2 linked regions of the Oryctolagus cuniculus genome follow. Each later gene encodes a partner of the first gene's protein in a complex. Links are inferred from orthologs where the notes say so. Each region holds a gene or a part of one and is shown in the gene's direction. Other genes may lie near its edges.

The links. Proteins that work in one complex are often made in the same cells at the same time.
Region 2: BAZ1A (region 1) and CHRAC1 share a complex: the UniProt entries of both Homo sapiens proteins name them as parts of the CHRAC ISWI chromatin remodeling complex. The link is inferred for Oryctolagus cuniculus from reciprocal best matches to the Homo sapiens genes BAZ1A and CHRAC1.

What each region holds. Positions count from the first base shown.
Region 1 is NC_091443.1:40,731,024-40,735,050, forward strand, and holds part of BAZ1A (bromodomain adjacent to zinc finger domain protein 1A), read left to right. Parts: intron 1-1,110; coding exon 1,111-1,235; intron 1,236-3,145; coding exon 3,146-3,269; intron 3,270-4,012; coding exon 4,013-4,027. UniProt on the Homo sapiens protein: Regulatory subunit of the ATP-dependent ACF-1 and ACF-5 ISWI chromatin remodeling complexes, which form ordered nucleosome arrays on chromatin and slide edge- and center-positioned histone octamers away from their original location on the DNA template to facilitate access to DNA during DNA-templated processes such as DNA replication, transcription, and repair.
Region 2 is NC_091437.1:165,601,625-165,605,343, forward strand, and holds CHRAC1 (chromatin accessibility complex protein 1), read left to right. Parts: upstream 1-1,359; 5' UTR 1,360-1,480; coding exon 1,481-1,624; intron 1,625-2,235; coding exon 2,236-2,362; intron 2,363-2,443; coding exon 2,444-2,550; 3' UTR 2,551-2,782; downstream 2,783-3,719. UniProt on the Homo sapiens protein: Forms a complex with DNA polymerase epsilon subunit POLE3 and binds naked DNA, which is then incorporated into chromatin, aided by the nucleosome remodeling activity of ISWI/SNF2H and ACF1.

The sequences.
Region 1 (4,027 bases):
TAGAGATAGAAAGTAGATGAGTGGTTGCCAAGAAGCAGCAGAATATGAAGAAATGGGAAATGATTATAGGTGAATATAGGATTTTTCTTTTGGAATGCTGAAAGTGTTCTGGAATTAGATAATGATAATGATTGTTAACCTTGTGAATATACAAAAAATTACTTAATTGTAATATTATAAATGGTGATTTTTATGATATGTAAATTATGTCTCAGTTCTTTAAAAAGAAAGAAGCATGGTATAGATTCCACTTCATATTTCTTATAGTTGACCAGCCTCACTTTTTTATATCTGGCTCCTGCATACATCTGAGCTTGCAAAACTCCACTTTGGATAGGGAACATAAATAGTAGAATGTATTTCCAGGCTCGTGTGATTTTAGTTTTAATTTAGATAACATACTAGAGAAAACATATGGTATTCACTCTGCCTCCTGAGATCTGTCTGAAACTTGTCTGCTTTTCTCCTCCTGGTTTGTCTGTTTATTCCTTCCTATTCTGAACTGCCTAGCCAACCACCTGCACTAGGAAAGTGCCTTCTTTTCTTGGTTCCCCCCATCTACTTTTTCTGCCAGATAATTTTCCACATAGCAACCAGGGTGCTTTCTAATCAATCAGTCATACTTTCCTTTTCTAAATACTTCAGATTTTTTCCCCATTGCTTTTTGGATAATTCCCTACAAGCCACCGCATAACATAACCTTTCATTTTTTTTCTCATCTGTATCTTGAATTACTACTTTTTCATTTCTGCTTTCTTCAAAATTACAAGCTCACTCTTTTTCTTTTAGCTTCTCTCCTGCCTGCCCACTCTTTGCCAGGCTCCCTGGTGTCACAATTTAATGTCACTTCTTTAGGCAAGCAGGCTTTCTTAATCTCTAAAACTTGACTTGACTCTTCTTGAAATGCTAGTACTTTCAAGATCTGCTTTAGTACTTTCTAATTTTAATATGCTTTATATAGTTATCCATTTTCTCTGCAAGACCATAAACTCTGTGTCATGTTGTTTTCTACTTCCTAAACATAATGCCTGGTACTTCATACGTAGGCAATAAATGTTTCATGAGTAAAATTATATTCATTAATAAATGTAATCTGTTTTTATCCTAAAGGGAGGAAGAAAGGGAATATTTTGATACCAGCACTGAGAGCAAAGAAATAGAGCAAAAAGAACTAGATCAAGATACAGTCACTGAAGATGAAGATGACCCTGGATCACATAAAAGAGGCAGAAGGGGTAATAATGGAATTTCTTAAGGGCATGCTTGTTTATTTTTAATTGATAAGGCACTATATTAATTCAGCTACTTTGAAATTGATGATTTGTGATTCCAAATATATGTTCTTTTGATTCCAGGGTGCATTTTCTTATTAATACACACCTCATAGATATGTTGAGTTGTAAAAATTGTGACTATTTTGTGAGGAGATGAAATTATAAAGTTATATTAATATATTTGTGATTATTAGGTCTTTATTCATATGTAATTTGTACCTTAGGGAAGAGAGAGAACATTCCTGTCTCATTTATGTCAGTTCCTTGTAACTTCAACTTTTAGTCAGCAAGTTTTGCTGAGCTTTTGCATTTACTATTTCATGTGTTTTATTATTTTTTATGATTTTTTTTAAGATTTATTTATTTATTTGAGAGAAAGAGTTAACAGAGAGAGGAAAGGCAGAGAGAGAGGTCTTCCATCTGCTGGTTCACTCATTAGCTGGCCACAATGGCTGGAGCTGCGCTGATCCAAAGCCAGCAGCAGGAGCTTCCTCCGGGTCTCCCATGTGGGTGCAGGGGCCCAAGGAATTGGGCCGTCTTCCACTGTTTTCTCAGGCTATAGCAGAGAGCTGGATTGGAAATGGAGTAGCCGGGACTCGAACCTGGTGCCCACATGGGATGCCGGCACTGCAGGCGGCAGCCCCAACCGCTGTGCCACAGCTCCGGTCCTGATTTCTTTATTTTGAAAGTCAAAGTTAGAGAGAGGGAAAGACAGAGAGAGATCTTCATCGACTCGTTCACTCCACAGATGGCCTCAATGGCCAGGGCTGAGCCAGGCTGAAGTCAGGACCTAGAAGTTCCATCCAGGTCTTCTATGTAGGTGCAGGGGCCCAAGTCCAGTACCAATTTCCACTGCTTTCCCAGGTACATTAGCAAGGAACTGGATTGGAAGTGGAGCAGCCTGGACTTGAACCAGGGCTCCAATATGGGATGCTGTCATTGCAGGTTGCAGCTTAGTCTACTGCATTAAAAAGTCATCTCTGATAAATAAATTTTTTAAAAAATGGAACAATAGAGAAGAAAAAAGACAAAAGTTCTTTTGGAAAAGAAACTTAGACAACCTTTGTTGAAAGTGATTTTTTATAAGAGAGGGGATCAATAAAAATTAGAACTAAAAAGGGGAACAGCATAACTATAGATACAGTAGAAATATAAGTTACAGAAAGATACAGCTTTCTGGCAATAAATTTGAAAATACAAGCAAAAATTGAAGTGAATCCTAGAAAAATAGCAATGATCCAAATGGATCTGTGAAGACGTTTTAAAATGTGAATGATCCCAAACATTAAAGTATTTGATTCACAGTGCTGGCATTGTAGCACAGCAGGTTAAGCTACTGCATCCCCATATGGATGCCAGTGGAAGATGGCCTGAGTACTTTGGTCCTTGCCACCCATGTGCTAGACCTGGATGGAGTTCCAGGCTCGTGGCTTTGGCCTGGCCCAGCCCCCGCTGTTGTGGCCATTTGGGGAGTGAACCAGTGAATGGGAGAACTCGGTCTCTCTCTCTCTCTCTCTCTAATTCTACCTTTCAAATAAATAAATAATATTTTAATAGATTCAGCACTAAAAGTCTTCCTACAAAGAAAAACATCAGACTTAGCTTTCTGAGTAAATACTTCCAGATTTCAAAGAAATGGATAAATCCATCTTCACAAACTATTTTAAGCAAAAACAATAGAAGGAATATTCTCCTATTATTTAAGCAGTTTAATGGCTACTAAAACGAGAAAAGTTTAGTTCTCCAACGTATTGTAAAAGTCCCAACAGCTCATTAGTGGTCCAAGCTCTTCTATGTTGGTACTCCCATTCTTAGGATTTTGTTGCTATTCTCATGTTCCAAAGTAATTTACCACCATGTCTCCATTTTAGCTAGTTGGAAAGGGGAAAAGAAGAAAGGAAGTAGGACCCAGAAGTTACATAAGTTACACAGACAGCCTCTGCTCCCACCTCTGAGCAGAGGTTCTTCATGGAGTCAAGCCTCCTGTGGGAAAGGGTATCCTTTTGGATTCCAAGATGCCTATCTTAAAATTAGTGGTTTTGTTACCTTAAAGTGTTGGATAGAAAATGACAGCTTGTGCACCAAATCTGGCTTGCCCTTGCCCTCTGTTGTTATAGACTTCAAAGGCTAAAAATTTTCAAATAATTGAAAAAATGAATCGGGGGAATGATCTTAAATGTCCATGAATGAGGTTTTATTGAACACAGTCAAGCTCATTAATCTATATATTGTCTAGTACTGCTCTTACATCATAATGGCAGAGCTGAGTGGTTGCGACAGACCCTGTGACCCACAGAGCCTAACGTATTTACTAGCTAACTCAGGTAGTTTGCTGATCCTTACCTTAAAAGAAGGGCTATGTGGCTGTTACAGGTAACTAATAGACTGTGCTCTTCAGTGTGCACATAACAGATTTTGCATGTTCCTCTAGACTGAAGGGTATCGGTTTCTTATAGTGTCTTAGTCTACTCAGACTGCATACCAACAACAGAGATCTGTTTTCTCATAGTTCTGAAGGCTGGAAGTCCAAGATCAGGTGCCGGCAGGGTTGGTGTCTGGTGAGGTCTCTGACTGGCTTGCAGATAGCATCTTCTTGCTGTGTCCTCAGATGACTTTTTCTCTGTGTATACCGAAGAGTGAGTGCTCTGGTGTCTCCTCCAATTCTTATGAGGACACCAGGCCTGGCAGATTAGGGCTGCACCCTGTGACTTCGTTGGACCTTAATTTTCTCCTTAAAGGCACTGTCTCCAAAT
Region 2 (3,719 bases), on another chromosome or scaffold:
GAAAAGATGTCCACACGACAGTCGCGCCCTACTGTGGGGCTGCCTCTCGCCCAGCGGCTCCTTTGTGCTTTGTGACCCTCGAGGGATTCCTCGCTCTCAGGGGAACCAGCGCCCCTGACCAGGAGCTGACCCTGAGGGCAGCGGCTTCCCCACCCTCTGCAGCGCGGGGCGGTGCCAGGGTGGCCTTGGGAACCACACCTGCTCCCCGGCCTCTCCTCCGCCTTCAGCCCCAGGGCCACCCTTCTCCCCCAGCTGCCTGGCCGGCCACAGGGCTGCTTGGGTCCTCAACGTGTGCCCCTCCCTCCGGCTGTGGGGGTCGGCAAGCGCGCCTCGCGCCAGCCTTCTCCATGCCGGGTCTCTCCCTTCCCTGTCCTCTCTCCCGCCACATCCTCGCGGCCGCCCCACCGGACGAGAGCTGTGCGGCTCCCTGGCTGTGCCTTGCGCTCGGCTCTGTGGGCCAGAGCCCGCGGTCGCATGGGGGAGGACCACGTGTGCACTCGGCTCTGCTCTGCCGAGACCACCCACTCGCCAAAGCACTGACAGAAACAGGAAGGAAGCAGGCAGGCACCGCCTGTTCCTCAGGGACCCCTCACCCAGCATGGCTAGGGCGAGGGGAGGGCGCCGCCGGGAGCCTCGAAGTCCGCCCTCGCCCCTGCACCTCGCCGGCCACTGCGGGCTCCAGGTGGGCCCCTCGGCCTCCTGACAGCTCTCTCCCCAGGCGGGGGCCCCAGGGCAGCTCTGAGCAGTGCCCAGGGGCCCGGGGGCAGAGCGGGGGCCCCGGGGCAGCTCTGAGCAGTGCCCAGGGGTCCGGGGGCAGAGCGGGGGCCCCGGGGCAGCTCTGAGCAGTGCCCAGGGGTCCGGGGGCAGAGCGACGATGGGGGAGACGCCGGAGCCGGCCCGCCCGGCGAGCTCCGCACCAGGCCCCGGCAGCGCTGCTGTCCTCGGGAAAACACGCCCCAGGCCACTTCCCCCGACTGCCGTCACCCGCGGCGCGCTCGTCCCTCTTCCTCTCCCAGTCCGGCTGGCGTCACCGTCCCCCGAGGCCCGGACCCCACCATTCCCGACCGCGGGCTCCGCCTCCGAGCCGAGCACGGCCCCTCGTGACGCCTCGGACGGCGCTCGCCGAGCTCACTCGAGGCGAACCGTCCCCGGGGCGGCACGACCAGTCGCCTTCGCTCGCCCGCCGGCCGCCTTGCTTGCTGCCCCGCCCTGCAGCCTGTTCGCCCGGCTGCCCCTTCCAACCCCTGCCCGTGGGACCGGCCGCTCGGCCCTCGCATGCAGGGCGCCCGCCCCCGGGACAGCGCGGGCGCAGGCGCAGGCGCGCGGGGCATCACGGGGCTTGTAGTTCGCACGCGGAAGGGCCGCGCTCCTGCCCTGCGCGCGCGCCTCCGCGACACTACAACTCCCACGGGGCAGTGGGCCGCGGGAGCCCGCGCCGACCGACTGGCCCGGCCGCTCCTCGCAGTGGGGCCGCCGGAAGATGGCAGAGGTGCCCGTGGGCAAGGATAAGTGCGGGGAGCGGCTCGTCTCGCTGCCCCTGTCCCGCATCCGAGTCATCATGAAGAGCTCCCCCGAGGTGTCCAGCATCAACCAGGAGGCGCTGGTGCTCACGGCCAAGGCCACGGTGAGGCGGGCGAGGACGCGGAGGGCGGGCGGGCGCGGGGCCGCCCTGAACCACCGCGCCGCGGAACCCGGCCCGCCACGCTGCCCAGAGCCCTCGGCCCGCTCGCCGCCGGCGGCTGTCGGCAGGCGCGTGCGCGCCGCACTGCCGCTCCCACCCCCGCGTCCCTCCCGCCATCCCCTGCGCGGGTCCCGCCCCGCCCGCCCGCCGCGTCCCTCCCGCCGTCCCTTGCGCAGGTCCCACCCCGCCCACTGCGCGTCCCTCCCGCCGTGCCTCGCGCGGGTCCCGCCCCTCCCACCGCGTCCCTCCCGGCGTCCCCTGCGCAGGTCCCACCCCGCCCCACGCGCGTCACTCCCGCCGTCCCCTGCGCGGGATCCGCCCCGCCCACTGCGCGTCCCTTCTGCCGTCCCCTGCGCGGGGCCTTCCCCGCCCACTGCGCGTCACTCCCTCCGTCCTCTGCGGGGTTCCCGCCCCGCCCACCGCGTGCCTCCCGGCGTCCCTCGCGCGGCTCCTTCCCGCCCACCGCGGCCGGGGAGGGTTCTGCACGGGGCCCGCGGCGCCCCGGCTGCCCCGTGTGCTCCCGCGGGCTCAGCGCGCTTGTCCGTGCCGCCCAGGAGCTCTTCGTGCAGTACCTGGCCACCTGCTCCTACAGCCAGGGCGGCGGGCCCGAGCGGAAGGCGCTGACCTACAGCGACCTGGCGAGCACCGCGCAGCGCTCGGACGCGCTACAGTTCCTCGCAGGTAGCCGGCCCGGGACGGGGCGGGCGCGAGGGGGCGCGGGGCGCCGCTGACCCAGCTGACCCAGCTCTGTGTCCATCTCAGATATATTACCGCGGAAGATCTTGGCGAGCAAGTACCTGAGGATGCTGGCGGAGCGGAGGGGCGAGGAGGCGGAGGAGGGCGGCAGCGACGAGGAGGCCGCGCCTTGAGCCCGGGGCCCCGACCCCGGGTCCCCGCCGGCTGGAGCCCGGGGCCCGGAGCCCAGAACCCTGAGCCCGGGCGGGCCCCGGTTCCCGGCTCGCCCTGCGCGTTCCCGCACTGCCAGGTGCAGGCTCTGTCTGGTGTTTTAACATTGTGGTTGGCTCTTTGCCCAGATACTATTTTTTTATTGTAAAGCACCGTGTTTGCGTTTTCTATTAAAGACCGGTCCGTATTCTCACAGTGAAGTGTGTCTGGAATACTGTTAGAGCCGGGGCACTCTGAGCTGTGGATCCCCGAGGGTCCAGCGGTCCAGACGGGCGCCCCGCGACTCCGGGGATCCACAGGTGGGAGCGCTCGCTTGCTCCCTCCCAGAGAAGCTTAGAAGACAAAAACATTGTAACTACTCTAGAAAAACATTCATTTATCTGCGAGGTAGAGTCACGGAGGGAGACGGGGCTCCCATCTGCGGTTCACTCCCTAAACGGCCGACCCGAAGCCAGGAGCTTCTGCCGGGTGTCCCACCTGGGTGCAGGGCCCAGGCACTTGGGCCGTCTCCACTGCTTTCCCAGGCCACAGCAGGGAGCTGGATCAGAAGTGGAGCAGCCGGGACCCGAACCGGTGGCCGTGTGGGATGCCGGCTCCACAGGCGGGAATTCCCCCCACTGCACCACGGTGCCAACCACAGAACTGCTGAAAGGCGGCCGCCAGCCCTGACCCTGCGTGGGAACAGCGGGCTGATGGGTCCAGGCCGTGAGAACCACCGTGCAGGGCAGACGGAGAGCGGAGCACAGACACGCGGCAAGGCCCTGTGGAGCCGGGAGCTTACGAACACCCAGGACTGATTTATGTATTTGATTTCGTAATTTCACTTGGAGTTTTCCTCTGGGAATAAAAGTCCATAGATTAGGGGGCTGGCACTGTGGCGTAGCAGGTAAAGCCACCGCCTGCAGCGCCGGCATCCCATACGGGCATGGGTTCCAGTCCTGGCTGCTCCACTTCCGGTCCAGCGCTCTGCTGTGGCCTGGGAAAGCAGTAGAAGATGGCCCAAGTGCTTGGACCCTTTCACTCGCATGGGAGACCTGGAAGAAGCTCCTGGCTCCTGGCTTCAGATCAGCTCCGCTCCGGCCATTGTGGCCAACTGGGGAGTGAACCAGCAGATGGAAGACGCCCCTCCCCC